2 linked regions of the Xenopus tropicalis genome follow. The protein of the gene in region 1 binds, or shares a complex with, the protein of each later gene. Links are inferred from orthologs where the notes say so. Each region holds a gene or a part of one and is shown in the gene's direction. Other genes may lie near its edges. The genes, in order: nsun4 and mterf4.

Evidence for each region.
Region 2: the proteins of nsun4 (region 1) and mterf4 are in contact, whole or in part, in a crystal structure (PDB 4FP9), measured with the Homo sapiens proteins. The link is inferred for Xenopus tropicalis from reciprocal best matches to the Homo sapiens genes NSUN4 and MTERF4. Residues at the interface, in NP_950245.2 of Homo sapiens: Pro61, Ser62, Arg64, Val65, Leu68, Ser69, Glu70, Arg136, Gly137, Asp138, Ile139, Arg141, Asn367, Leu368, Met369; in NP_872307.2 of Homo sapiens: Tyr267, Glu269, Arg270, Leu271, Gly272, Arg273, Glu311, Glu312, Val315, Phe316, Lys318, Leu319, Arg322, Glu323, Glu326.

The regions. Positions count from the first base shown.
Region 1 is NC_030680.2:93,250,266-93,265,409, forward strand, and holds nsun4 (5-methylcytosine rRNA methyltransferase NSUN4), read left to right. Parts: upstream 1-4,686; 5' UTR 4,687-4,706; coding exon 4,707-4,790; intron 4,791-6,115; coding exon 6,116-6,534; intron 6,535-6,691; coding exon 6,692-6,846; intron 6,847-7,416; coding exon 7,417-7,577; intron 7,578-9,993; coding exon 9,994-10,118; intron 10,119-10,274; coding exon 10,275-10,551; 3' UTR 10,552-10,778; downstream 10,779-15,144. Other genes in the region: uqcrh (cytochrome b-c1 complex subunit 6, mitochondrial), read left to right, coding at 697-858, 1,459-1,491. UniProt on the Homo sapiens protein: Mitochondrial RNA cytosine C(5)-methyltransferase that methylates cytosine to 5-methylcytosine (m5C) in various RNAs, such as rRNAs, mRNAs and some long non-coding RNAs (lncRNAs).
Region 2 is NC_030681.2:125,977,700-125,993,501, forward strand, and holds mterf4 (transcription termination factor 4, mitochondrial), read left to right. Parts: upstream 1-6,239; 5' UTR 6,240-6,324; coding exon 6,325-6,327; intron 6,328-8,058; coding exon 8,059-8,380; intron 8,381-8,893; coding exon 8,894-9,078; intron 9,079-9,782; coding exon 9,783-10,241; 3' UTR 10,242-10,368; downstream 10,369-15,802. Other genes in the region: sned1 (sushi, nidogen and EGF-like domain-containing protein 1), read right to left, coding at 12,566-12,591, 13,196-13,302, 13,671-13,758, 14,379-14,486, 15,785-15,802. UniProt on the Homo sapiens protein: Regulator of mitochondrial ribosome biogenesis and translation. Binds to mitochondrial ribosomal RNAs 16S, 12S and 7S and targets NSUN4 RNA methyltransferase to the mitochondrial large ribosomal subunit (39S).

The DNA.
Region 1 (15,144 bases):
GGATTGGGCTACAACCTGACTGGTAGCTTATTTTCAATATACATTTTGATTGCATAATGTTAAAATAGTAAGATGTCATAGACAGGGCTGTTGCAACTCTTTCTAATCTAGTCTCTATGTATTATCCTTGGTACTTTCTAAATAAATTCTAAAACATAATTACTTTTTACAGTTTTTTCATAGGAATCTTTCTTAAGTCATAAAAAATGGAAGTTGTATCTGTTAAGTATAATACTTCTGTTGGTGGTGTTTACACTCAAAAAACCTCTTCTGCAAGGAGCAAAGTGCTCCAGTAACTTTACAAAATGCTTTTTCTCATAGAAGATGTAAATGTAATTTTTGCTTTCAGGTTTTTAAAGTCCATGTAAATAAAGTTTTCCAATGTCCAGTCCACTTATTTTAATTTGTTATGTTATCCAAATTTTAGGACAAAACTGCCATAAATATGAGCATGTTGTCTTCCAAAATTAACAAGCCAAAAACATTAAATCAAGTCCTATATATTCACCAGCTGTAACAGTTAATAGGGTGGTCCCCCAAATACTCAGCGCTTCTTGGTGGAGTTCTTTGAAACCAAATCTTCAGTATAGTAGAAACTGTGTGATCATGTGCTGCCTCCTCATAAGAACAACCCTCCCTTTCACCAGCTGATTTACTGTAACATTTAATGATCTTGCCTTTTTTATGACCTTACAGGATCCTTTAACCACAGTGCGGGAGCACTGTGAACAGTCCGAAAAATGTGTAAAGGCTCGAGAGATCCTTGAGTTGTGTGAGACTCGTGTTAATTCTCGCTCACATACAGAAGAGGAGTGCACTGAAGAACTTTTTGACTTTCTCCATGCTAGGGACCACTGTGTGAGTAATCGGGAGATATGTAAAAATATTTGTATTTCTTAGGGGGGTGCTGGAGACTTTTTTTATATTTTAAAAATGGACAGTTATAATCACTGGGGGGGGTGGGCTGGCAAGGGAAGCAAGGGAAGAAGATGGTGCTCATACAGAAGTACCCCAGGTTGCTGCTGTTTTCTGCTAACAGGAGCACCAGCCCAGAGTATCAGGTAAGTTATTATAATCACTGGGAGTGCCTTTCTTTTTCATTTAAGGAAAATGATTATTGTTTTCAACCTCTGTTACTGTGGTTTCCCTGGTACTTGTTAAAACATCCACAGATGCCAGCGGCATATATTTAGTGCCTATGGAGCACAGACACACTTTAGGGCAAGCTCAGATTTATTAAGACTGCACAAAATAATTAAATAGTATGCCTTATATCACCAGACCCAGGAGTCATATCGATCTTACTGGAGGTCAGTGGATCAGTGTTATGCTATTAAAGGGGAAGGTCACATTAGAATTTAGTTTTTATGATGTATATGTTGGTATACCAATTAACCTTCTCTTTCTCTGTGCATATTAAAGTGTCCCCCTTTTTTTTTTTTTTTGGTTCTCTTGTAGGTAGCTCATAAAGTCTTCAAGAACCTAAAGTAATGTTTTAATTAAGAATTCTCATGAGTGACTTGTTTGCTGAGCTGAATGGTCATTGGCTGTGAATCATTATCCTATGGATTGTGACTCCTTGATCCTGCTTTCAGTACAGTGCTATTCTCCACACCATGGCTAATATTTTGTGGGATAGATGCCTATAAGTAAATATCTACAGCAATGTTGTGACTGTTAATAAAGCTATTTGGTGTTGAGTCAATTTTATTCTCTTATTTCTGCTTTGCTTACTTAAAAAAAAAAATGAAATCATTCTATTAAACTCAACTACAGTATATTGGCTACTGAAGCTATGATAAATTAATCTTCTGATCAACAGATATAAGCCTAAACAGTTTGCAACCAAATTAAAGTAGAAAGGGATAACAAACAGCAGACCAGAAAAAGTTGTCTTCTGATTGGTTGCTGTGGGTTATTAGTTTTTATTATGTTAGTAGCAACTTCTGAATTGGGCTAAGACCTAAAAGAAAAATCCCTTTAGATCTTACATATGACACAATCAAGCTTGATATACAGACCTTTCTTCTCGGTAAACAGTTTAAAGGGCTACCCAAGTTGACGCTGAAATGAATCAATCATGTCTGACTAGTACAAATCTTCATTGTGTTTAAGTGAAAGACCAACATTATTCCCTCTTGGGTAGAGAGTGATGATAAAATTGAGGGTAACCAAAAATTTGAATGCAGTATCGCCCTTCAACTCAATATTGTTGAGTACTTAAAGGTCTGGACAGCTTGGAAAACACACCACCTTCAGATTTACTCATCTCCAACTGCTAGCCCCACTATACTACTGATGTACGCAGCACTTATACCTGCAGTACACTAAGGTCCATCCTATTAAGGTCCATCCTATTAGGTTTTTTATGAAAAACTAAAGGGTGAAACCAGGCTTGACATATTTAAAGAGAAGTCAAACATGACTTCTCTTTAAATATGTCAAGCCTGGTTTCACCCTTTAGTTTTTCATATGAATACTCTCATTACTCTCATCAATGTTTTAAGTTGTACAATAACCATATATTGGCAGCACCACGTACAGCCCACACTTTTGACCTATATATATATATATAATATGTGTGTGTGTTATTTCTTGACTCCTACTGTCACCAATTAATGCACATGTTCCAGATCTCAACTTGACAGTAACTCTATATAAGGATTGTAATTAATGTGGTGCTTATGTGCACAGACTGATGGGTACATTACCTGCATGGTGGAATGCGCAACAATCCACTGCATGACAAAGCAAGCACAGACAATGGTGTGTAAGGCCACTAGGCCTTAACAGAATGGAAAATAGTACAGAATTGCACTTTTTGCTCACAGACACATGTATGTACTGGTGTGTTGCTATGGCTATTATATATTGGTTTTTTCCAGCTAGCCTTTGTAAGGACAAACCAAAGAACCCATGCAGAAAAGTCTTCCTTAAAGTTTGCTTTATAGGAAAACTATAAAGCACAAACAGTAATGTTACACCCTAATGGCGTTTGTGAAAAAGTTGGGCAGCTGTTTCAAACAAAGGCCCTGTGTCATTAACTTACTGAACCTAAATGCAGGAACGGTATCGTGAGACGTTATAACATACTGACTTTTAACACTAAGGGGCTGATTTACTAAGACACGAATTCGAATCCGAATTGGAAAAATTCCGATTGAAAAACGAGCATTTTGCGACTTTTTCGTATTTTTTGCAATTTTTTCGGCGCCTTTACAACTTTTCGGAAATTATCGCGACTTTTTCGTTACCAATACGATTTGCGCGAAAAAACGCGAGTTTTTCGTAGCCATTACGACTTGCGCGAAAAAATGCGAGTTTTTCGTAGCCATTCCGAAAGTTGCGCAAAATCTGGCGATTTTTTCGTAGCGTTAAAACTTACCCGAAAAGTCGCGCCTTTTTCATAGCGTTAAAACTTAAAAGGCGCGACGTTTCGCGCAAGTTTTAACTCTCGTATTGGTAACGAAAAAGTCGCGATAATTTCCGAAAAAAACGCAAAATACCGATCATTACGAAAAAAACGCAATCGGACGCATTCGGCCCGTTCGTGGGTTAGTAAATGTGCCCCCTATAGTTAGATTGAGTAGTTCATCTTTAAACTAACTTTCAGTATAATGTCAGGGTTGGACTGAGGTGTGCAGAGCCTATTGGGCTTCCATTCCAGGGGTCCCCACTGCCCACCCAACGCTCTACCCTCCAGTGTGTGTGTACTTTATTTTGTTATATCTTTGGCCCGATCAGGGGTGGGAGCTCAGCAGGGGGAGTGGCAATGGGGATCGGGTCTGGGTCAGCTTTTTCCCACCAGGACAATCCAACCCTGCATAATGCAGAGAGTGCTATTTTTATCAAATTTGCAATTTGTCTTCTTTATCATTTGCAGTTTGAATTATTTAGCTTTTTCTTTGGAAGCTCTCCAGTTTGGAATTTTAGCAGCTATATGGTTGCTAGGGTCCAATTTAACTTAGCAACGAAGCAGTGGTTTAAAATTGAGACAGGAATATAAATAGGAGGAGAGCCTACATAGAATGATAAGTAATAAAAAGTAACAGCGACAATAAAATTGTAGCCTGGCAGAGCTATCATTTATTAGCTGCCAGGGTCAGTGGCCCCCATTTGAATGCTAGAAAAAGTCAGAAAAGCAAATAATTCAAAAACTATTATAAATGAAGGCCAATTGAAAAATTGATAAGAATAGGTCATTTGGTAACATATTAAGTTAACCAGAAGGTAAACCACCCCTTTTAGTTAATGGGTCCTAAGCTGCGCTATCGCCATTGTTTAATAACCACTTTGCTCTACACTTCCAAAGTTGGCAGCCCTCTCTGGTACGTTTCTCTCAGCATTACAAATGCTAAACGTAGTAATCTAGGTAATCCTGCTCTATGCGAACAATAAATCTCTCTGTTTAGCGGACTGAACATTCTAAGCGTGGGTACTGAAATTAGTCCACTGACGGGTACTCGCATAAAACCAAAAAAATGGCTTGCACAAGCAAGGAATCAGTGAAAGCCTGGCATGCTGATTTGTTACAATATTATCATCTCCCACGGTGGGCAAGGATACATTCTATTAACAGCGCCAGAGCTGCTCGGCAACAGTAACATGCCTGGGTAGCTAGAGCTCACCGATAGGTTACTGTTGACGGAACAAAATGCGTTCCTGCATTGTGTCAGGGCGGAAGGGCTTTTTTGGTGCACAGCAACATGGCAGCCTGCAGGGGATTTTTATTGAGGAGGATCAATGACTCGTGTCTGACCTTTCGTAGACATAAATTCAAGAAAAAATGGGTAAGGGCTTTATGACCTTGGCAAAAGTTTCATATTTGAGAAAACAGATCTAACAAGACGTAGTTTGCTCCCCCATTCAACCTTCTAACATCAGCATTTCAGCACCACCGTGTCTGTCCATCATAAAACCTCGTAGAGAGCTCTTACCAGACTAGTAATTGTACATGCATAACGGTGCTCTTGATTATGTTTTGCTGTAATGACATTGGCTGATTATTGAGATTTCTGCACAGTGTTTGTATAGCCAGCAAGTCTCTAAGGTGTAATGCTATAGCTCAGGGTTCTCTTTTAAGGATCTGGTATTTTTATGTTGTAGTTCAGCAAGAACAGCATGATAGAGGGCCACATTTTTGTTATCCATAAAGTATAAGAATATAGTAGTTTGTATTTAGGTACTTTCAGGACTTCAATAGCAGATATACTGCAGCAATATATTTTATTTAATATATTTGCTTTTTTCTTTGTTACTGTTGTTTCTTGTAGAACTAAACAATTGGGGATGTGCTGAATGCACTATTTTGTGATCTGTCAAAACCCAGAATCATTTGTGAAAGATTTTACTAAAAACCAAATCGAATCTGAATCCTAAGTCTGTTTTTATGTGACAAAAAGTAATGTGATTTTGAGGATTCAGATTCGGTTCGGCCAGGTATATTATTATGGCTGTATCCAAAATTAGTCAGCACAAATAGTTTCTATTATGGGGGTGCAACATTAGAATACCATACGGGCAAGGTTCAGAGTGCCAAAAAGTGCATATTCTCCACCTGATATATATATATATATATTTTTTTTTTTTTACTTTATATGTGCCACATAATAATTGGTCTTATAAAGTGAGTCCTGTTGCAGCTAACACAGCATATATGTGCATGTGTGTTGTGTGAATTATTTATCAAAAGAAATGTTTTAACCAGTAACATACTTTTAAAAAAAGTGTCCAGGATACTCCCATGATCTGATGTTCTAGGAAGAGCACTTGCTGCTGTCTGCTGAGAGGTATATTTGCTGTGTCTAGCACTCACTAGTGGCCAAATAGGTTTATTGCATGTAGCAACTTAGCTTCCTGACACTGTCAATATCCTTAATCTCTGGCTATTGTCAGTTCTTCTTAATTTTAATCCACGGTTTATATTGGACTCCAGTAGCTACACAGGGAAATAGAGAAGTGTTTTAAACAGCTAATATTTGCTCAACTGAAATTAATAAAGGGCAAACTTATTTAATTTTGGTTGTTGAACTTTTTGTTTATGTTTATAAGGCCATCCAGTAGCCCTGCTTTTGCTTTCTCTATATTGAATTGTGTTTCTTTTTCAAACTTTAAGGCAACAACCCTTCCAAAAATTCCATGTTCAAGGCTTGCTTTGCAATATTTCGACATGAATTACAGCATGCAGTTTGGAGATCTATGGCCTTCAATTCGTATTAGTCTTCTCACAGAACAAAAGTATGGGGCTCTTGTCAATAATTTCTCACATAAGGAGACCGTATTGAAAAATCTCAGTGCTTTTAATGCAAAAGACTTTATCTCTGAGGCTCAACATGTGATATCATTATTGCAAATACAAAACAATTTGGACACCTCAGAAAAAATGACATCAGGTGAAGCATCTCTGAATCTGGTTGGACAGAAAAATAATGCAGAGAAAACTCAAGCAACAAACCTGCTTTCATCTCTTTCTAATACAAAACTCACATGTTTCAAATTTTCCAGGGGTGATATAAGTCGTTTTCCTCAATCAAGGTAATTTATTTTGTATTTCATTCACTGATTTTTTTAAGTACCATTATATAGCATTTATTTTATGTGGTTAAAATGTACCTTATACTTGCTTTGACTTTGAAAGCTTGTGAAATATTGTTTTTTTTTTGTTTGCTGTAATAACTTGCTTTTGTTTCAGGTCAGACAGCTTTGGACTCCTGGAGTATTACTTAATGGATGCCGCCTCACTATTGCCTGTTTTGGCTCTTGATGTACAGCATGGTCATAGTGTTCTTGATCTTTGTGCAGCGCCTGGAGGAAAGACTTTGGCGCTTTTACAAACTGAAAATTGCCGTATGTAACCACTTGCAATATACTGTATGTATGTGTATCACTGTGTAACAGTGATCCCCAACCAGTGGCTCAGAAGCAACATCTTGCTCACCAACCCCTTGGATGTTGCACCCAGTGGCCTCAAAGCAGGTGCTTATTTTTAAATTCCTGGCTAAAATGCAATCTTTATTTGCATCAAAACCATAAGTAGTACCAGACAAAGCCTTCTATATGGTATAAGTTCATATAGAAGCTACCTATAGCCAATCACAGCCCATTTTTTGCACCCCCGGGAACCTTTTGCAAGTTTGTGTTGCTCTCCAACTCTTTTACGCTTGAATGTGGCTCAGGAGTAAAAAAAGGTTGGGGACTCTTGGTGTAATATATAAGTTCTTTTTTTAAATAAAAACAATAATAATTCTTCTGTATTTAGGTATAAGAACAAACATTTATGTGCTTTATGAAGTATGTATGTATATCTTTATTTATAAAGCACTACTTGTGTACGCAGCGCTATGTATTATCAATATATGCCTTTTAGATATTTTAGTTTCTTTTGACATTTGTTTCCATTGTACTCTTATTCAACAGAATATCTTGCTGCCAATGACTTGTCTACTTCCCGAAGTAGCCGTCTCCACAGAGTTTTGCGTAGTTATGTTCCTAGAGCCCAGCGTACAGAGCATAAAGTGTGCATCACGTCGCAGGATGGAAGGCTGTGGGGAGATGCGGAGGCTAACACATATGACAGGGTCAGTTTGTTGCAAATTTAAAGGTTATATTAGTATTTGGATTATTACCAAGATTAAAGTGAATATAAACCTAAAATGTATGTCAATTTACTCAGAGAACACTAGTGCAATTAATTTAATAATCTTTTGCTATTCCCTTCTAAGTTTGCCCGACTAAATTAAAATTAGTTTTGTTTCAAATCAGGCAGGGTCTCTCTCTTTTTTATTATTTACCTGATGGCACTGGGGAGTTGTTTGCATCTGGGGCAGCTTTGACCCATTTCTTGTCACTGAGACTCATTACTGGTGAGTGTTGTATTGGGTCACTGTATGGATTGTGTGTAGGTTTGATTTGGTGTGATTTCAAACATTGATGGCAGGATCTTTTAGCCACTTTTTTAGATTGTGATGTCTGAGTTATAGTGGTTCAGGAATACAATATATAATCCATCATTCTACGTGTGTTATAACCCAGTAGTGCAATTGTTTACTGACTTTTTTCTCCCTTGGGAGTTTGATCCACCTTACCAGGTAACCCTGTGCTGTTTTGATAATTTTAATATATTTTATTTTTTCAAGTTTTCTGTTATTACACCTACTCATGGTGTGCATTATAGTTAGGTTCTTATAAATAAGATCTTGCACACCTTCTTTGATTAATTTTAGGCTTTGACATTGTGGTGGTGCTCCCCTTTGCAGTAATTGTATAATACTAAACTAAAATTAGCTGTCCCCAACCAAGACTCCATTTCCCATAATGCCTTACATTCTTTTTTTCAACTATTTTGTGAATCAGAGTCCTCAAGAGTCAATTTAAATAAAGCTCCACAGTGAAAATATATTTAGATTGGTGCTATCATTATCAGAAAATGCTTTTACAGCTACCATCCTCATGTATCTCTTATGTATCTCTTAGTGAGACAACACAATGAAAGTCTTTCTTCTTAGGGAAGTCACATAAAGGGGCAGATTCATGAAATCACGAGTTTGAGTCCCGAATGGGATAAATTCGGATTGGATACGAAAATTTCTGAAGATCGCAAATATCATGAAAATGCTTATGAAAAAAGTCATGATAATATCGTATTGGTGATCACGAAAGTCACGAAATTTTTGTACCGAACGTTTGTAAACAGCGGGAAAACCTTTCCAATTTTTTTGCGCAAGTGTATCAAAAAGTTGCACAGTCATGGAAAAAGTCGCCTAAGCGACGAAAAATTTGTCGAAAATACGCTTGGAGCATTCGAATCTTAGTAAATCTGACCCAAAGTCTTGGTTCCGCTTCTTTCTGCCTGTGTTTTATTGGCAGGTGGAGAAAAGTGGATCTGCTCTTTTCCACAGCTCTGTGCCGTTGCACTGACAGGCAGAGCGGTGGATAGCGGAGTTGAGATGAGATCAGTCTGAGAAACATGAATGTGGGCATTTTCGGGGTCAATCTCCATTTAGGCTGAAGCTGTTCCTGTCAATGCAGCTACACAGAGTTGTAGGGGAGAGAAGCGGAGCCAATGCTTTGTGTGACTTTGCCCTTATGATATGCTTTTAAGATCCTTACCTTGCCGTAATATTAATTTTTGTTGTTTTAATGTTTAAAAGAACAGATGAATGTGTAAAAATGAAACTGCGTAGATAGACCGCACAAAATAAAAAATGTTTTCAATACAGTTAGTTTGCCGAAAATTTAATCTATAAAGGCTGGAGTGAATGGATGTATAACATAATACAGAACACTACTTCATCCTTTACAGCTCTCTGAGCTGTTAGCAGTCAGTAACCATTCAGTGACTTAGGGGGGGCCTTATGGGACATATCTGTTTAGTTAGTTTGCTTTTGAATCTGATCTGTCTGCTCACAAACTAACTGAACAGTTTTGTCCCACGTTGCCCCCCCCCAAAGTCACTGACTAAATAAGACATCCATTCACTCCAGTCTTTATAGATTACATTTTTGCCTAACTATATTAGAAAATGTTTTATTTCACACACAATTTTGCCCAATTTATTTTTACTCTGAATTGTTCCTTTGAACTTGACAAAACATAAACTTGGCTTTTTTACCCTGAGAGCTAAATTATCATGGAATGGATTATGTTGGTTTTTTTTTATTTTTTAAGATTAATAAACGTAGGAATTTTAGTATTTTTATTAACACAGAATCACCCTTTCTCCATCTGCTTGATTACCCACATAAATCAGTTGTGTGGAAAAAGAAAAGAGCAGGTTCATCTAAAATGCTTAAAACCAAAACATTATGCTTAATTGAAGTAAGGTTATCTTTTATTTTTTTTTAATTGATGAAAACATTCTGTGATTACATTTAATTCTTTGGTTTGGAAAGGTCCTGTATGGTCATCTCATATGCTTTGATGCAGTTTGTTGTATAATTTATTTATTTTATTAATGGTGTGACTTATGGATACTTGCTTATGTTGGCTGTATAGGTCTTAGTGGATGTCCCTTGTACCACTGACCGCCATTCCCTTTTAGAAGAAGAAAACAACATCTTCCATCGTATAAGGACTAAGCAGCGCCAGATGTTGCCATTGTTACAAGCAGAACTGCTTGTGTAAGTAATTCGGCATTATTACATTTTGATTGCACTAATTTTTTAAGAACAATATACCTTAAAATAAAATCATAGAATTCATTTACTTCTGCTCTTTATGTGTAATGTACCAGTTGTCTTCTTGAAAACAATAACAAGCTCTATGTTTTCCCCCAGGGCTGGGCTACGTGCTGTGAGGCCGGGTGGAGAAGTGGTGTACTCCACCTGTTCTTTGTCACAGTTGCAGAATGAATGTGTTGTGGAGAGGGCAGTTGAGCTTGCAGCTTCTGATCATGGAGTCCATGTTAAACCCCAGGACCTTAGCTGCTTCAGGGAAGTTTTCAAGAACACTTTTAACTTTTTTCAAGGGTGCCGTGTAGGAGAATTAGTCCTTCCTCATCTCACAGCAAATTTTGGACCCATGTTCTTCTGTAAACTTTTAAGAATTGAATAAAAACTAAAAAGATTACTGAATTGAAGATATGTTTATACCTTAATTCACCTCTGTAAGTGTTCTCAACTCAACGTTGCAAATCATGGAATACAGATATAGTGGTATGAACAGTGGCGCATAGGATGTTCTTGGAAATTTGTTTTTTTTTTTTTTTTTAATATGTTTACATATTCTGGCAGTTATGAGGACAACTCAATTTCTATTTTAATAAAAAAAAATGTTAGAAATTTTGTTTGCTATATTTAATTTCTTAAGAAAGTGGAACAAACAAAATTTGTATGGGGGGGGGGAAGCATTTTGTGTTGCTTATTGCATTTTCTGCTTTTTTTTTTTCCTCCAAAACATTGAATTGTACATTGAATGGTTAAATGAAAATGCACAGGCCAGATATGCTAGATGATCCCTGGTAACAAAAGCAGAGTGCCATGCCATGAACAAGTAGAGTTCTATGCCACACCTGTGTACTAGTCCCCATTTCCACCAAGAATACATATGGAACATTTGCTGCTATGAAATAAGGCTTAAAGGAGAAGGAAAGGCATTTTGACATTATTCTGCAGAAAGCTTTATCATACCTAAGTAAAGAGCCCTAAAAGCTCCCTCTGTTTGTTTAAGATAGCAGCTGTAGTTTTAGCTTAGTCTCAGTAGCTTCCGTGCTGAGTTGGGAGAGGGAGCAAATTCTAATGGAAGGATGAGTGAATTCTTATGGGAGGGGGAGAGGGGAGCAAACTGAGAGTAAGAAGTCTGACATAGAAGAACATGTGTACACAAAAGAAGAAAATAATAAATCCTGTGTTTCTTTTAAAAGATGACTCAGTGCAGCATTTCTGTGAGTGCTTATGGCTGTATTTAAGCTGTGATACAGCTTAATTAGTTTTTAATCTTTCCTTCTCCTTTAACTCCTAGTACATTGCTGGGTGTCTCAGCCTGAGGACTAATTTATAATATGATCTGGGGAGAACACCAATTTGCTCTCCTAAAAGACTAGCTTCAAGTTCAGTTCAATTGAGATTGTGGTGAAGCTTATTTTCGGTCCTATGTGATCTTAAATATATGGTTTAATGGCTGCTACTGAAGTGTTTTCATATATAAGTTGCCAAACAAGTAGATCTCGGTTAACTGATTGTTCAAACAATCAAATTAAAATGATGGGAATAGGACCACATCAATGGGCCAATGTGGCCCCCGATCCTATGAGAAAATCAAACCTGCCCAATCGACATCTGGACAATTTTAGGCCAGATATTGGTTGGGTAGGCCTGTTGGGGGTCCCCATACACTGGGGAATTGGTCCGAATCTGCAATTTATATCTGCCTGTGTATAAGTGTCAATGCAGGAACCAAGTGTAATCATTTCCGCTGCCTGTTCCAGTGGTGTGAGATCGACAAAACGCACCCTAGGAGTAGGATGTAGTTGCATGGGTCAAACTATAATAGAAATGATACAAAAATCTGAGGTGTAAACTACATGAAAGATTTGCCATCCGATGTGACACACTGATGGAAGAGCCTGCTGTGGCTTTATCCAACAAGATAAAATCTGACAGTGTCTGACAAGACTTATTGGGCCCGATTCACTAAAGTCTGAAATAAGGAGTGCTATTTATAGCATGCGTTAAAAATCTTATCACTTCTTATTTTTCGCTCGATTCACTAAAAGGACACTTGTCATAATTAAGAAGCAATGTTCTTGGCGTTATTTATCTTGCGACTACATATTTTCAAGCAATATATTACGCAGCGCACAACATATTACGCAGCACGTTGCTTGAAAATATATCGTTGCAAGATAAATAACACCAAGAACATCGCTTCTTAATTATGACAAGTGTCCTTTTAGTGAATCGAGCGAAAAATAAGAAGTGATAAGATTTTTAACGCATGCTATAAATAGCACTCCTTATTTCGGACTTTAGTGAATCGGGCCCATTTTCTCTTTGAAATACATTGACTGTTGAAGGTAGATACAGGAACAAAACCCACCACCCGACTTTACATTACAGCTGTGAAGATCAGATTTTGTAGAATCCTAGACAATCTTGTGCTGTTCTGTGGCTTTGTATGATCATATACAATCTCAATCTTGTCAAAATTTCCCATGGATTTCAGCCCTAATACATCATTTTTTTTTTTTATCTATGAGATTAAACTTATAGTTACATTTCAGATGACCATTACAGAGCTGCACCAAGCAGTGGATAGAGATTATTACTGTTTGTGTGGGACAGTTGCTTTCCTTTTTTATTTTTATTATTCAGTGTGCCTCTTTGTCAGTGTGTATTTGTGTGTCTGTCACCATGGGTGTTACAAATGATTTTCAGGTATGCACCTTTTATACCCCTACTATGGAAGGGGAGATGTTCCTAAATAATTTGCAAAGTATGTTCATACACTATTAAAGGGGTTGTAAACCTAACCATAACATGGCCCCACTGCGCCTCCTAGTTTTACTTTAGAAGTTGTCCAAAAACATAATTATAGATGCAAGAAAATTCACCACTGAGCATTCTACTGACCAAAAATCTCATTATAAGATCAAAAGAATTGACCAATAAGAATGCTGATTCCCAGCACTATGTCAGACATCTTGCTGTTAATCTTACATACAGAGATAATTATGTCTTTTTGTTTCTTCATTATATGACAATGGAATCGGACATGCGGTTAAAGGACATATACCGTATATACTCGAATATAAGCCGAGTTTTTCAGCACTAAAAATGTGCTCAAAAAGTAACCCTCGGCTTATACTCGAGTATATGGTACGGATGTGATAACTGTGCTTGATCTGCCGATGTGCCCCCCCCCCAGACGGACTTGTGTCCGTGCGTACCTGCGCTCTCGTGCACCCGCGCTCTCCCTATGCCAGCTTCCCAGAACCGCCATCCTGCTACCTGTGCGTGCTTCTCCTGTGCACGCTTCTGCTCTGCTTGGCGTCGCTGATCTTACAAGGTCTAAGATGAGGCCACGAGTAACTGAAGGGGGTGCGTGACGTCACTGGCGCGACTGCGGCGCCAAGCAGAGCAGAAGCACGCACAGGTAGGAGGTCTGTATGAGCTTATCTGCCGAAATGCAGAAGCAGCTTCTTAAATTCTTCAAGGTTGCACGGGGAAACTGTTTTACTGTTTACTGATTATTCCTACATAAATATGAAAAACACATATTTCTCACTGATATAATTGTTGAATCTGGCCATATCTATACAATTCAACTTTTCCAAATAATCTCTATAGTATTTTATCAGAGGATTCAATGAAGTATTTACTTTTATCAAGTAATGACATACTGTAATAGTGGTTAGCCCTATATATAAAAATAGTAATGGTCTGCATGTGATCTATACTCACTTCACTAATTGAGGTTTTGCCATAAAGCTATATAACTCATTCCCCCCCTCCTATCCTTTCCTTTCTGGTCCTGGTCTGTGTTGCAAATGAGCAGATTAGCCTTAAATAGCTAAAAATATTGATCTGCAGATTGGTACATTGCCCCCTTAGCTCCCACAATCATTGCATCTCATTAGTTTCTCTATTTATATATCTTATTTGCATATTTCTGGGAAGCTGGCATAGGCAGAGAGCGGGACTTTAAGTCGCTTGGCAGTAGCTGAAGGGCAACCAATTGGGGAAACAAATATAAAAGCGTCATGTGCAAAATTGGTAAGTTGCCATTTGTATCCCACAATGAAACCTTTTTTACTCACAACTGCTCCTTTTCTGCACCTGCCACAAGTCACAACAAAAGCTGATACGAACAAGTCATACTGGAGTACAGGCCCAATGTTTGCCCTGTCTGTGTTACTTAAGGTCCATACAAGTCATTTTGGTTGTTACAAGCTGAGGCATGGGCATTTATATCAAGCTATATATATAAAGTAGTGATAAGAATTCAATATATTCCTGGTATTAACAATGTAAATGCTATAATGCTGAGTAAGGGATTATCTAAATGTTCCGTCCTGCTTTCGTCTGTCCTGTTTTATGCCTGTTCCAACTTGCTCCTACCTGTCCCGCACTTGTCAGGCCAGTTGGTCCTGTTCTTTGCCTTTTCCAGTCTCTCCTGATCTTTGCCCACTCCACCTTGTCTAGTCCCTTTCTTGGGCCACCACTGTCTAAAACACTCTATACCCTATATATATTTCTTAGGCTAGACAGGGGGCAATTTTTGGGATAAACCAAAGTGTGAGCACACTTTGTGTGCTGGCTCGCTCGCACCAGCCCTACTGGTGACACCCTAGGCTTATACTCGAGTCAATAGGTTTTTCCACTTTTCTTAGGTAAAATTAGGTACCTCGGCTTATATACTCGAGTATATACGGTAGTGATATCTGTGTGATAAGAAAACTGTGCTTAATGCGTCCAAACCAAGGTTTGGGGAAAAGTTTTATTATGCAATATTACTTTAAGAATACAACCCTAATGTTACTGGACTATAGCTCAACCCTCATTATGTTAAATGGTTCTGGGATTTGTAGTCCAGAACAGCTGGGTAAGTTTTGTTGAGCAGTGCTGTACAGGTTTTAGTACCCCTTTAAAGGTGGCCATACACGTGGCGATCTGACGATGTTTCGTGCGACCATCGGTCGCACGAAAC
Region 2 (15,802 bases), on another chromosome or scaffold:
TTTGGCTATTATGTTAGACATCTGCTCACTCCAGCCCTTTATAGATTACATTTTTGCCTAACTTTAGTGTAAAATTAGTGTAACCTGCAAGACTTTAGATGAGGTTTTTATACCTTATGCAAAATAAAACTTAAGCCTGTGTGTTAAAGGATTGTGTACAATGGAACATGTGGCATATTAGAACTGATCTGATCCAGACAAATGAAATGCCATTCTTGTCACTTGCTGCTGATTACTGATGTCCTACAGGCACTGAGCCATTAGCTGAAGGGACTACACAGATTGTGCCACTGTTCAATGGAGGGTACCATACACATGATGGCAGCTTTCTGGGCGGTTCAAGTTTGTTAGCGTTTTGAGAAAGTGACTTAAAAAAAATTCAGCAATATAGCCAAAGGTATTCTCAGTTTCATAAAGCTGAACACAATAACAGACAGTGTTCTGAAGGTTTCTGTAAATGAGTTTGCTTTATTAGCAAGAGGCAACTAAGGGCCTCGTGCTATTCATACAGATAAAGCATGAGGTGCTGGCTGAAGAGGATTGTACTTGCACTAACAAAGCCTTGTACCTCTCAGCTTAAAGGGAAAAATTATTTTATAATCATGGAAATACTGAAAATGGGTGGCATTTACAAAATTATATATTTTTTTTTCCCCATCTTGGTTTTCTACTTGAAGTCCCAAAAAAGTGTTACATGACTCCATAATCCAATTGCCTGCATCATGAGATCTCCACCACCTGGCGAAGCTCTTTGAACAAGGAGCCGAGTTCTTTCTCTAAGCTGAGAATTAGGCCTGTAAAAATCAAAATGAAAATATTTAGAGGGGGGCTAGGTTTGCACTATGGCACAGTGGGCAGGGTTTAGCAAGCAGAACAAACTCACTGTTGCCTCCAGTTCACTTAAATGGGAGATTTGTGACACTGGTACTGACACTGTTCAACTGGAAAACACCTTGGGAGCATTTTTTGGGCAGAAACCATTGCTGACTTAAGTTCTGCCATTTGAGTTAATAAAAAGCAGCCGTGGCTGGCTAAATTTGCTAACAGAATATTTTCCATGACCATTTGCTACAGTGCCATTAGAATTCAGAAAGATAACATTTGATTGGTTTCTTTTGATTATTGCAGCCACTGTTTCGGCATTTAGGGAATGAGGGGCAGTATAATAATAGGTAAAAACGTTGCTCTGGTGCTTGCAACCTATACTAACCAATTAGCAGTCAAGCTAGCATATGGTTGGTTGCTGTGGGTCACCAGACCTGGTAAAACTAAACACTTGTTATAAAGTTTAAATGGTTTTAAGAACTCATCTTACAAAATTGGATGCACCCCGAAAGCCCTTGCTTGGGCATATGTAGCAAGATATGCGCACATTTACCTGTATTGGCATTGCAGCTTGCTATGAAGCTTACTACCAGAGGCAGCTGATTAAACTGGACAACCTATAAAACACAAAAGAAGGAATCGGAATAATTAGGCGCACATCAGATTCTGTGTTGGATATTATCAAAATGTAGCGGTTTATGCCTTTCATGCATAAACGTATGTGCCCCTTGTGCAAGGGGAATTAAATATTTTGTATCCAACACTCACCTGTTCTTACCATGCCCTGCTTCTGCCTCCAGATATCACTATTTATAGATTTGCACCTGTGTATTTCGCCCATTTAATGATGTCAGAAAGAGGTGGATCTATAAATACCAAACTCGCCAGGTTAAGGTTGAAGTTGGGTGAAGGTCAACTTTTTGTCAACCCGCACAGTAAAGACCTGCAGAATATCCGTTAAGTGTTCAGGTCTCAGGTAGGACGTTCCCAATTCACCAACCGGCAAGGCAGTCGGCATGTATCCTGTCTGGGTATCAGTTCAGCTGTGGGTCTAAGCCCTCTCACCCACCCCTAATGATTAAGGAATTTTTTCCCTTTAGCTGGTTGATCCACCTTCTAAGTGACATGACTTTCGGGCTCACAGGTCAGATCAGGCCCAGATTTGTTGCGAGGCCCAGGCCTAGGGCGGCACGCCGCCCATCTGCACTTAAACTTTGCTCACATACGGAGGACTGGGGACAGGACGTGCAAAAAAACTTCAGCCCAGTGCTCTGTACGCGAGCTAAATGGATGCGCATGTGCGCGGCCCTGAGTGGGGGAGGGGAATTGCAGCGGCCTCTGGGCACCGTCATTTGAAATCTGGCGTTGTGGGTGATAAGTAAACCCCTTGTTGGTGCAGGTTGCGGGTTCAGGTTAGGGTTAGGCATGGGACCCATGCAGGACTCTACCGCATATCACTATTGGGCAGGTATCTTGTTAAAGTGACTGTAGTCTGGCCTAGATGTGATGAAAACCTGCAATTACCTGGTATGTGCTGTAGTAACAGATGATGCTCTTGTTTTTGGAGAGGCCAAGCTTGCTTCCCTGGTCTGTAGCTAGTGCAAATGTAGAAAGGAAAGCCGGTCTCAATGCATGCTCAGGGGCATTCTCATTGGCAACTGAAATGGGATGAACAGAGAGCAGAAAGTCACAAGCAAAGCTAGAATCTGGCAGAAAAATGGGCCACTCTTATAATAACATATACAAATCAAATAAGAACATATTTACCATATAAAGTGTTGCTACAGATATGCTATAAATATGGAAGCAAATGAAGCATCATGGAGAACCAGAACCTAGGTGCAGCCTAATGCATTTACACTTGGAATCCCCTCCCTGATTTCCTCCGGAGAGTATACTCCCTCAGTCTTTTTAAAACCAAACTAAAAGACTACCTTTTGTAGCACTCACCCAGCACCTGATCTGGGAAATAGCACTTTTATTGTAGTGTCACTCACTGTGACCTACAGCACTTATACTGTATTTGCCTATTTGTGTCTCTCATATAGATTGTAAGCTCTACGAGGCAGGGACCTACATCCTCTTGTGTCTTTGACTCTTAACTTGCTGCAACTGTATCTTGTATTTATTTGTGTTTATTGTTATACTTTGTATTTATCTATTATTATCTTAATAACCCCCTGTTTGTATTAATGTATTCTACTGTACAGCGCTAAGTACATAAATAGCGCTTTATAAATAAAGATATACATACATTCATTGAGATAGTCGCACTAAGTTGCATGGCGGTTTAGTTAGTGAACCACTGTCTAACCAGGGATGTAGGATGTGACACTACTACAGCAGGTGCTGGGAGTTGTAGAGAGTTGCAGGTTGATTATGGATTGGCTTCACTATAGCAATGGATGATATTCCCATATGTAATTCTGATATTTCTAAATATAAGCCTGACTATATAGCCTGTTAGACAATGCACAAACGTGGCAAAGAACACATGCAAAGTCAGTGAGTGCGCAGAACCTTACCTTTAATAACCGGCACCCCATCTCTGTCTGACACAACAATAGCGTGGAGTTCATCAACACTACAAAAAGAGGAGTTACAAATAGTTGTGTTGCACCAACTTACTGCTGGACCCTCACTCCCTCAATTACAGCCAAGCATCTAATGTATCTGTAATTAGATTAACCTTCCATCCAATCACAGGAAGCCTTTCAAGTCTACTATCAGTCCAACAACCAGACCAATTACTGAGGTGCAGAGAAGATCAAAGCCATTGATCTGAGGGACTGATTGGCTGAGGGACCAACTCACTTCTGGGCTGTAAACAATCCATTTAAATTCTGCATTTTTATTTAATATTTTATCACAGTCCAGTAAAATAACCCAGATGTTTTAATTTATGTAAGTAATAAATTATTATTATTAAGGAGTAACCTACCTTGTTAACTTCTTGTACAGGAATCTCCGTAATTCCTAGTTAGGAAGGGAATGGAACAGTTATACAAATATAGTAATCTAAATTCTGTAAACCATAGCAAAGCTTTCATATCATCTCTAGCTCCTAAACCTTATCTACAGAACAGACCGCTATCTACGGGTGCCATCCCTACCCTATGGTGCTGTATCACTCTTGGTATTACTCTTCCATCAGCAGCCAGGCTATGCTAGGAGCTGCTACATCCAATAATGATTAGAGAGAAAATGGAGTAGTGCATCTCAAAATGTATAGTACATTAACAACTCATAAACTGGCCTGAAATAAAATACTTTTATGGGGGGCTTAGAGCTTTTAAAGGGATACTGACATTACATATAAAGTCACTGGCATACAGGTCAGCCCCCAGCTCACTTAGGACATGCTGCACAAGTTGCTGCCTTCAACGATGCAAGTGCCAGTCAATCTGACTTCCTAAGTATTCTTATTATATTGGGCCAGGGTTTTCAAAATGGCTGCTAAAAAAAAAAAAAAAAAGACATGCCTAGGAAATCAGCTCCTATGTACATTTACATACCAAGTAAATAATATCTGCATCCTTTTGTTTGGAAGAATGTGGAATCCTTTCAGACTGTATGCTCTTTTGGGCAAGGCCATTTTTACCGCTTGGATGAGTTAATGGCTTATTTGTATGTAAATCTCTATGTTCCATGCACTACACTGTATATGCCCATTTATTGTACAGTGCTGTGGAACTTAATAAATACATGATAATTCTCGATGCAGTGACAACCATTGTAAACTGCAGCATTTATTATTCTCCAAATTAATTGTTACCTGCCCACTTATAAACTCAATAGCGCAGAGACCTTCATTTGACACAGCACTTTGTATTTATTTCTGTTTATTGTACTGATTAATGTGCTGCTGCTGTATAGCGCTGAATCACAAGGGGGGCTATATAATTAAATATATATATATATATATATATAAATAACAGCCTGATGAATGACATACTCACTTCTGCCATAGCTGCACTCTTCTGTATGTTATTTTAATCTGTAAAGACAAAACCTTATTATCACAATACATAATAAACAGTATTTTGCTTGCCTGTATTTATAATTACACTTTTTAGCTTAAACAACTGAATGCTCTGTTAATTATAAGTTAAAGGAGAAGGAAAGTCATTTTGGCATTTTACTGCCAATAGATTCACCACATTAGTGCCACCTTGAACACTACATTTATTCTGCAGGAAGCTTTACTATACCTAGAAGCCTTAGAAGCTTTGCTTAGGATAGCAGCTGCCATTTTAGCTTGGTCTTCATTGCTTCCTGCTTGCAGTCTAGCCATTGGTATCTCAGATTACAAATTCCTAAGGGTGGGGGGAGTGAGCTATATGAATTCTTATGGGAGGGGAGAGAGCTGCACAGACTCTGTCCCTGGGAATGAAGGATTTTTCTGAGAGAGGAAGTCAGATACCCTAAGAACATGTTTACAAAAAAGGAGACAAGAAATCCTGTAAGTTTCTTTTGATAAGAGAAGTCAGTGCAGCGTTTCTGTGAGTGCTTATGGCTGTATTTACATAGACCTTTCTGATAAAGCTTACTTTCCTTCCCCTTTAAATATGATGCTCTCAGCAGAACTAAAGCAAATAATCTGCTTCCCCCAGTGGGTCCCAGGACTATAAATATCAGTATAAAACCGGGAAGCTCTAACACAAATAATGGCGGGACCAGGGAAAATATCCATTGGTGACCCCTCAATACATTTGTGGCACTACTCCCCTCACCTTAATAGGCAAACTGAAGAGTTGTAGGCATTAAAGTAGAACTACAGCTCAACGACAAATTAACCTAATGACAATGTGTTATTTCTTTATTTTGTATTTACTTCCTGTTATTTATAAAGCACATAACACATTTCTGCAGCACTTTACAGAGATTACTTATAATTCCCATCAGACCCTGCCCTAGGGGAGCTTACTGTCTAAGGTCACATTCACACAAACCATGGTCAGTTTAGTCAGAAGCCAGTTAACCTGCCTGTATGTGTTTGGAGTGATGGGAGAAAACAGAAGTAACAGGAGGAAACCCACAGACACAGCAGGGAAGATCTGTGCCCCCAAAGATGCCCCAGTAGCCCCCCCTTTTCTGCTGATTCCCTGCACATCTCTGTGCTGCTGGCACTTCCCTGAGCTTAGGGACTGACTATATAATGCATATACAGAATACACTAGAGACAACAGAAGCTGAACACAACCCAGAGTGCTAAATAGCCTGAATACATACATCCCTAGCTGAAAGCCACTGCCCTGTGACTCCCCAGCTGTGAGTGAATGCCCGCAGCCCAATAACATTCCCCTGTGCCCCCAGATACCCACCTTCACTCAACTCTCTACTTCCTCCCTGCACCTCCTCTCCCCCTGTTTAGGGGAAGCTATCACGTGACGCACCTTGCCTCTAACCCCGCCCTCCCTCGGTCACATGCTGATGACATCACTGAGGCGCTTTGATGCGGCTGCTTGAGCGTCCCAGGCGGAAGGGTAGAGGAGGAACATGGTGAGTTCGCCTGGGCTTCTCTTCCTTCTGTGTCACCCTGCCCCTGCTCTGTAGCAACAACACTAACACCGCTTTCTGCTTCATTAAAATGCCAGGCACAGTTGCAGTGGCAGCAGGTTTTTCTGTGCTTGTTCCTTATAGTTATACACTGTCTCTATTTCCCTCTGGGGTACAGTGTGTATTGGGCTATGGGAGCTAGTATGCAGGAAGCGGGAAGTACATTAGTCGTTTTGTATAAAGTCCTATTTAAGCAAATGTAACTACTATAGTGACCCAGATTATGGAAAGCGCCCCCTCTGGTAACTCCATGTCCTGTTCCATATAACAGAACGAATAAGTTAAAGGGTGTGTAAGTGAGAGGCTGCTCCTCTCTGGGTTGGCTGCTCCTCTCTGGGTTGGCTGCTCCTCTCTGGGTTGGCTGCTCCTCTCTGGGTTGGGTGCTCCTCTCTGGGATGGGTGCTCCTCTCTGGGTTGGGTGCTCCTCTCTGGGATGGGTGCTCCTCTCTGGGTTGGGTGCTCCTCACTGGGGCTGTTAGTGCAGAGACCCCCCCCCCCCAGCCTGGGGCAGTAACTGCACTGTCTGTGTAACCCTGGGCCTGTGCAACTGATACACTGCTCAAACATACAGGCGACAGGGCCTTGTAATATGTATGTTTTATTTATTGAGCTCTACGGTGTGCCGGTGTTACATCCCAGGTACAAGTTGTGCCCAGATGGCGCTATTATCAGAACCATGTAAACTTGATTGCAGCTTTGCGCCAGACACAGTTACGCTTTCCACAGTTTGGGAATTTGTGGCTAAAACCACGGTACTAGAATTAAAGTTTTGCATGTTTCCCAGTAATATTACATATGTCCCGGTACATTTCCTGGCACTTGGGATTGGAATAACACTCTCAGAATATTAAGAGCTGGAATTACCCTTTAATAAGAGAAATATACCATATACCATAAGATTCTCTTGTTTGGAGAGTTTGCCAAAAGAGGGGATCCTTCTCCTGATATGCCCACCTAAGGTGATATTGGGCTAATTCCATCATTTGGCTCTAGGACAGGAATAGGAATCATCGGAGCGAGGACCAAACCAATGAGCCAATGCCAGTTTTTAGCCAGATATTGGTTGGGGAGGCCCATCAGAGGGCCCCATTAATGGACAGACCTTTAGGGTAAAGCCACACGTATGATTCTCGGTCATGGTCTGTGGATAAATACAGGCCAAGAATCAGCCCCTACTCTGGCATCAGTAATTCCCTGTGCCTATACCTGGAGCTGTTTCGTCAGCCTTGGTGTCAAAAAATACTTAGAATCACCTCTGATAAAACATTCAAATTGCACCATTGCACCAAAAATGCATATGAAGACATGAGTGTTTCAGCAGAAGTAATTCTCAGTATCCCCTATGGCATGGCCTGGTATTTTTTGGCCTAATATTGCTTCTAGCTGTTGCCTTGTTGCCGCCATATATCTGCCAAGGAGGCAGGCACACAAAGCCCATACACAGCCAGATAAGCTGATTAATAGGCCTGAATGGGGCCAAATCAGCAGGATGTATCTGCCCATGTATGGCCAGCTTTAGCCATAAGGTAACCAATTCAATGGTTTCCCTTCTTGTGTCCGTGTAATGAAGCCGCCTTCTTGCCTTTTTTCTGTATTCCCAGTGGGAGCTGTTTCCAAACACAATATATAATAGCTGCCTTTTTATTTACTGATATAACTGTGTTTCCACCCTAGGTCTCCTATTTTCCCCGTCGCTGCTTTATGCCCAGTTCCATCTTAGGCTTCCGCTACCTGTCCTCGTCCAGTCTTCCTGTTGCCGTCCAGGAACTTCTAGATTTAGGCTTTAATGAGGAGCAATCAGGAAGAATCCTCGCTCTGAAACCCAGGAGAGGTGACCCATGGCACACAGTGTCCTGTACCAAGGAATTGCTGCTCATTGGACTAAAGCCGCAGGCCGCACTCAAGATGTTGGAGGACAGTAAAGAGCTGCGAAAAGCAACTGTAAGAGAACTCCGAGATAGAACTGAGAATCTTCGTAGCCTGGGGCTGGGGGAAGGTAATGGTGTTCCTTTCCAACCCTTCTACCAAGCCATTTGCTGCTTGTGTTAATTGATTTGCCATTTTGCAGTGAAATGGTTGAATTTCCACCACAGAATAAAAGAACAGCTATGGCTTCCAACATGTGTGTAACGTTGTTTTCATAGGCTTCAATCGCTTGAAACCTTATCATATGTACACTGTTTCTAAATGTGACCTCTAGTTACCATAACTTCTATTTTATTTTGTCTTTGTTGCTGCACTAAGTTTGTTCTACCAGTAGAGGGAGCTGCTGCTCTAGTATAGTTCTTTTATACTTAAGACTTTTTCTCTTCTATCAGTAACAAAGTAGATACCCTTCACTTTCTTAAAGTTTCATATTGTTTCTGTGACTTAATATCTCCCATTCACCCCACCCCAGGGGCCCTGTGACCAATACACTGAAAGCACATTATACAGGCAGCCTGTAGAGATCTGTATGATACAAAACCATTTATCACATTTTATTTTGCTGTTTTTTTTTTTCTAAAAGGGTTCCTGCAGCGATCACTCTCCAGATGCCCGGCTCTTCTCTCGCTTCCTCGTTCCCATGTCCTGGCAGCTGCCAAATGCCTCAGACAGCGATGTCAATTCTCAGCTCTGCAGCTGACTGATATCCTTCGATTCTCCCCAGAAGCCCTGACATATGACCCCAGCTACCTCGAAGAGGCTTTTCAGGTGATTAACAAAACTATCAATGAATATAATAGGTACTGATGCATGCAAAACCAAGATACTGCCTCCTCTCAGGATAGGAATATATTGGCAACACAGAGGCACTGCTGCTATTACACAATATCCTGTGGAACTGACTGGCTCGCTGGCTAACATGGATTTCATGCAGTTTCATGTTTCTTAAACGAGTGCTTACAACTGAATGGATATAGGGCTGCCAACCCTCAGATAAATAATCTGCATTTGTCCCTGTAATATTTAAACATGGCATGTAATTTAGCTGAAATGCAAAAAAAGCCTTCACTTTGAAAGATCCATTTTTGAGCTGTGATACTCCATGTTATAAGGGAAAGGGTAGTTTAGCTATCATATTCTTTAGGCTAAAGCCCCCTGCTGTATCAGGTAGGGTACCATTCTGCCCCTGGCCTGTGCACCTTCTCTATAAACAAAAAATAAACAAACCCACATCATCCTTGGGTACTTGCTTGCAATATGCCAAATCCCAATCCTTTCCCATTTTTTGTTGCTTGGGTTTGTTGTTGGGTTAGAAAAATATGTTCAAAGTCTATCTTTTATTTATTACATATTGTATAAGGAATGTTACCAAGGGCGTTTTCATGGCCAGGATGCCCCTCTGAGAATCAAGGGGAATGTCATATCTGTCTTAAAACATGTAGGCCTGACCACCTTACACTTTACCTTTGCAGTATGTATATTTCCGGATGGGTGCAAGCCACAAAGACATTATAACATCTGGCCTATTCCAGACATCACTGGATGAAATCAGGGTTCGGCATCAGTTTCTGGAGCGCTTGGGAAGATTCCTACCCCCTGATAAAAAGGGGGTCTCCCCACCCTCTAACCCCAAGCTTAAGGAGGTCACGGCACTTTCAGACAGTGACTTTTTGGCACATGTTGCTCGGGTTTCTCCTGAGGAACTGCACACTTTCCGCAAAATATTTGCACGAGAGGAGCTGGAGGCTGGAGAACGTAAGGACAGTGAGGCAGGAAGGGACCACTTAGACAGTGGCACAGAGGGAGAGGATACAGACAGTGAACACTCTGGGGATAAAAGTGGAGAAACAGAAGATGAAACACACAAGAGACTGAGTAATTATAAAAGGAAGCAGAAGAAGAGATCAGCTAATAGACCTGTGAGACCATAAAGGACCTCCATATTGCTGTCCATTTAAAGAATGGGCTGCCTTGTTGCAACTTATTAAATGTTTAGTTTCTTTTTTCCTTGATTCATATTTGCTATATTTGTTCTTATGTAATACAAAGTGCACCTCCTTCAGCAGGAACTTTGTCTGACTTAAGGTGGCCATATGTAGCAACTTATTGTCCAGTGTATGGGGCCTCCTGGAAGGCTACCCAACTGATATCTGGCTGAAAATCAGCTTGACCTCCATCAGGCAGGTTAGAAAATCCCATCAGGCATTAACAGGTTGATGCAGCCCTGTAGGGCCCATATTAGGCTCTGTTAGGGGCCACTTTCTTTCTTCAACCAAATTCATCAGCCTCAGCCTGCCCTTGTCTCGCCGCTGTAGTACTGTATAAAGTAGAGAACAAGGCTCTTTGAAAAGCAGGGACACTTGTCAGAGTTCCAGTATGTGTGTATATGGTGGCAGAGGTTTAAACCATTTTTTTTATTGGTCAACATATGCTCGAGCCCACTACGGCTCAAACCATGGCAGAAATAGTCATTCTGCTAAAGTTCCATAAGTATCGTAAATACTTTGACATGGGCCCTCAATGACACAGAAATGTGTGTGGCCATTCATTATTTGTCTATTTGCACATAGAGAATGTAGATCTATAATAACTCCAGTTATAATACTGCAAGTAAACACAGGATTCCACTTTTTTAATAAAATGTTTTATTAGAAAACTTAGTCGCCTGGACAACCACACTAAAATAGCTGAAAGCTCAGCCACATGTATTGTCATCACCTCACCTGGAGGCGCAACCTAATTTGCTGTGAATTTAAAAATAATTTGCGCCTCGCCCTGCCTTGCTGTAAGCACTCCGTATGATAGGAGATCTCACTGCTAAACTAGAGATCTGAAATCCCTGGGGCTCCTGAAGTGATACTGTGTGTGGGCACCTACTGGATTAATACCAATCCATTTGGTTTATTAACCCCTTCTTGCAGTGAGATCAGTGGTGAATCTAAGGAGAATGCAAGAATAATAACATAAGGTAGACTCTGTAACCTGCAATGTATGTGAATATAATGTACCTTTGTTTAGGGCAGCTCAGTGATTGCAAACTTACAGCACTCTAAGCCCGCTCTACAGGTCTGGCACTTGGGTTCTGGCTGATTTGGTATTGGCCTCCCAGTTTGTGCTTTGTCCTCATGGGCCACCGTACAATGCTGACTGCACAGGTGAAGTTGACATTAGTGGTAGGGACTAACAAAGTAGCAGGAAGTACAAGGGAATGAGTTCCAGACCCAGTGCCTTTCAGTTTTAGGGCTGTTGTTTCTATGCTTGTGTCATTACTGGGAACATTTCTTACAGAGAGCTGACAATCTAAAGCACCCTGATGCTGTAATTACATAGAACCATCCAGTCCACGCTATAACCTAAAGGTGTAGCAGCTGTCCATGTACATTATGTTATAGACTTGAGATGGACATAGTACCACCAAGCTCCTGTGGACATGGGAATGCTGAATGGAATAACCCTGTCACCATACTGGTGCAGGAAGGGACCAGTTTTAGATGGTTAATAAGCTGGAGAATACCGCGCATCCGTGACACACTGAGATAAGGGGCTAATTAAGCAGCTACTCTAATGTAGTGAGGTTCTGTGGTACATACTGTAGGGCTTTCAGGCAGTGTGTGTCATACAGCTCTGTGCTTTGGGGCCCCTGAACTGGGGTATCTCGTGCTGCAGGTCCTTGGCTCTAGTAGTAGTAGTAGTCTGTACCAATGCTGTACAGACGGGACTGGATTGCAGCTGCTTACACTTGACATGTTTGTTGCTGTTTAGGATCTGATACAAGGTGTGCATTCAATAACAGAGCCAAACCATGCTCCGTATGTCCATAAAAAACAATTGTCTCCAGATCTTCCATCAGAATTATGAGAAGTAAGATCTTTGTCCAGGGAGAGGAGGGAATGCTGCTCTTCTGAACCCTTAGAGGAGGATGTGAAGGAGGGCTGCTCCGCAGGGATGCAAAGGCTAGTGCCACAAGGCCAGTACTGGCAATGCCACTGCACAATAAGAGAGAGGCCACAGAGTCTCTGAATATTGGGAAGGTGGAGACAAGCTTAGTGTCCCCCTTGGGGCAGTGTGATGATTAAGACCTTCCCCCCCTGCAAAATTCAGTGCTTTTAAACCTGCAAAGAAAAAAAAGACAATTAAAGTAGCAGTACATAGTGCTCTGCCATGCCCTGTAATCTGCCTGTGCCACGCAGTGCCAGTACACACACAAAAGGAAACAATATATTTGGGTGTTTGTATCACTTACAGTTTCAGCTGTTCAGGGCTTGGAAGGGATTCTGCTTTCTAGAAAGAAAAAACATTTCTGAGTCAGCGATTGTCCCCTGGTTATAGGGGAAACCTATAGCAATTTATTTAATTAATTGGAGGAAACATCCATCCTTTCAGCTAAATCAAAGCTGTCTGTGTGGGGGGGGGAGGCTTAAACTTTAAGGTAATTCTTATTGCCGGCAGCCAAAGGCAGTGCCTCTGTGTATCAGTGAGGGTCCCCAAGACTTGATTTCAGCTTGTTACTTACATTCATCAAGTGGGCTTCCCTTGGCTTTGCAGACTTGTGGCCTAACCTAATACAGGTACGGGACCTGTTATCCAGAATGCTCGGGACCTGGGGTTTTCCAGATAAGGGATCTTTCCGTAATTTGGATCTCCATAACTCATGTCTGCTAAAAATCATTTAACTATTAAACCCAATAGGCTTGTTTGGTCCCCAATAAGGATTCATTATATCTTAGTTGGGATCAAGTACAAGGTTCTGTTTTATTATTACAGAGAAAACGCAATTCATTTTTAAAAGTTAGAATTATTTACTTATAATGGAGTCTATGGGGGACGGCCTTTCCGTAATTTGGAACTTTCTGGATAAGGGGTTTCCGGATAAGGGATCCCATACCTGTAATTGTAACCAAAAGAGTCCACTCACTTGCTCTGCTTCTGCTGGTACCTTCACAAACCTCCCTGCTGCACACATCATTCTGTACCTTGTAAACTCTTCTGTACCTGCACACAGACATGGCATGGGTTAGTAGCATGGCAGAATTATTTGTAAACAAGCTCAAATGTCACTATAAAATACATTTATAGAAGAGCTTGATTGCACAGCTTGTACCCCCCCCCCCCATCATTCTTTCCTCTGTTCAGGGCAGCCATGATGGCAGTACAGCTGTAGGAAGCGAGAATAAAACCATTTTAGTGCCATTCCTTATACCAGTAATGAGGTAACTAATAATGGCCCTGAATCCACAGAGTCACGTGTGGCATTTGTCCCCAAGGCACCAAAATTAAATGTGGCCAATTGCTGTTTATGGCAGAAAATCCAAACCCTGTTTAGAGTATATTTTCCCTAGAATGTAGCAATAAATACTTACAGGTGGTGGCAGATTCCTCCCTCCCACACTGGGTGTGATGTTGTCTCAGAAATCAGTCTTGTGCAGGAAAAGGTCTCCTTTCTGCAGGCTGAAGAAGAAACGTGTTACCCCCCCAGCCAATTGGCTACGGCCCCACAACACACATCTGTATTATCAGCAGCAGATCTCCTGCAATAAACAAGCTGCGCCACACACACCAGCACAGCGCAATGACTCACGCTCTCCCCTGAGATATTCCCAGGCTCATCCCCTATTGAACATATAAATCTTCTGGAACAAATTGCCGAGCTGCTGTATAACTCCTTCCAGACCCCATCTGAGTGACTGCCCAATACTATTAGTAATAGAGAGCTTTGTCTTTTCTCCTGTAGCCATGATACACTAAATATCACCTTTATATTCTGTAACATTTGCCAGTGCCCCCATATCTAAGTCCTGCATTCTGAAATCTGTTCACTTTTATTAAATACAAATAGAAAATAACTGTAAATGGCAGTTCAAAGTCTATGGTGGGGATCATTGACCATTATCAACAGCTCTACTTTTAAAGGAATATGTAGTCATATTGTTTCAAGAGTCAGAACCAGAGATAAATGTATACTGCTTTCAATTACTATTGCTACTGAAAGCAGTCTTTTGGGCTTAATAAAGTTTTGCTAACCCAACCACTAATAAAGTAATAAAAGAAGTCAGGTTACGGTTACATACCCAACTGGCATTGCTGCCCTTTAAATCCCAGAGGACAGTCACAAGTGTCTCCATTCACACAGGTCCCTCCATTAAGACACGGGGTCTCCAGGCAGCCCAGTCGTTCTCCTGGAAAGGTTCACGTTAAAAGGGAAGAAGTCAACTTCTACTGAATGAGATACACAGACATCATTTGTATCCTACTCTATATACATTGTAGCATGCTCACATGTTCCTGAGCTGCACATGCCAGAGAAAGCATGTCATTCTAGAAACAATGTTGGGAGCTGCCATATTGCTTACCTTAGCTGAGGCACAACACACAAACCTCATTAGTAAATAGCCACAGCTAGTTGCTTCTTTTTGAAGATAAAACCCTAGGTGCTGCTTAGAGTGTTGGTCAGTTTACTAAATATTGATCAACTATAAAATACATCACCAAGCAAGGTTCTTCAGGTATTGATCCATTCATAGTGATCTTGTGGCTCTCAAACAACAACAGTGCTTCTGCAAGGGAACCTGTGCTACTATTGCATCTACTGGCTGCCCACATCTACAGCAGTAATATTATTGGCACATAAATGGGCATCTAAACAACAGTTGGTGCAATACACCTCATTAGTATTATTATGGGCAACAGCACAAAGCGGGTCAGTGTTTCCTTGCAGGAAGGATTTTCAGCTTAGTGGACAGAATTGTCCTTTATTCATTGGCACTGGCTGCAGCGTTTTCAAGGGACCTTTGCCAAACCTGTGAGTGTCCCTGTGGTGGCAGGTGATTTCCACTAAAATGAAATAAATATATATATATATATATATGTACATACATGAAGCTAATCCTAAAATAAGCTAATCTTAGCTAAGATTTTAGATCAGTTATACAACCAGAACTAATGCAACATTGCCTGCAGGCAATCAGCTAGATGCAGTAAAAATCCCATTCATTAGGCACTTGCGTTCTTGTACATATGAATAAATTGGCTCAGCGCTACTGCCTTCCTCCTGCTATGAATTGAGCGCAGTTGTGCCTATTGACACAGAAAACCTTAGTACTGCCACCACCTCTCTTTGGTGCTTCCACGGATACAAATACACAGCAACCATCAGTGGGGTACAACTGTAGGGCTCTCAGCTCTGGAAACCAATATTTACTACCACTTGGTTTGATAAAATGGCCACCAAATGTGCTTGTATATGGCCCCAAGTAAGAAAATATCTTCCTTTAGAGATGCCAAATGCTGCCAGAGGGATGTATAGCTGCAAGTACACCCTACATATAGAGAGAATTTATAATCATGTCGGTACATGGAATATCTCATGTGCATGATGTCAAACAGAGCAGGATATGCAGGTTCATAAATCATAGGAACTACACAGGATACATAAAGCCAAACAGCTTCTAATTGTTCTCCAGAATCACTCCTGCACCTTCTTTGCTTCTTTGCT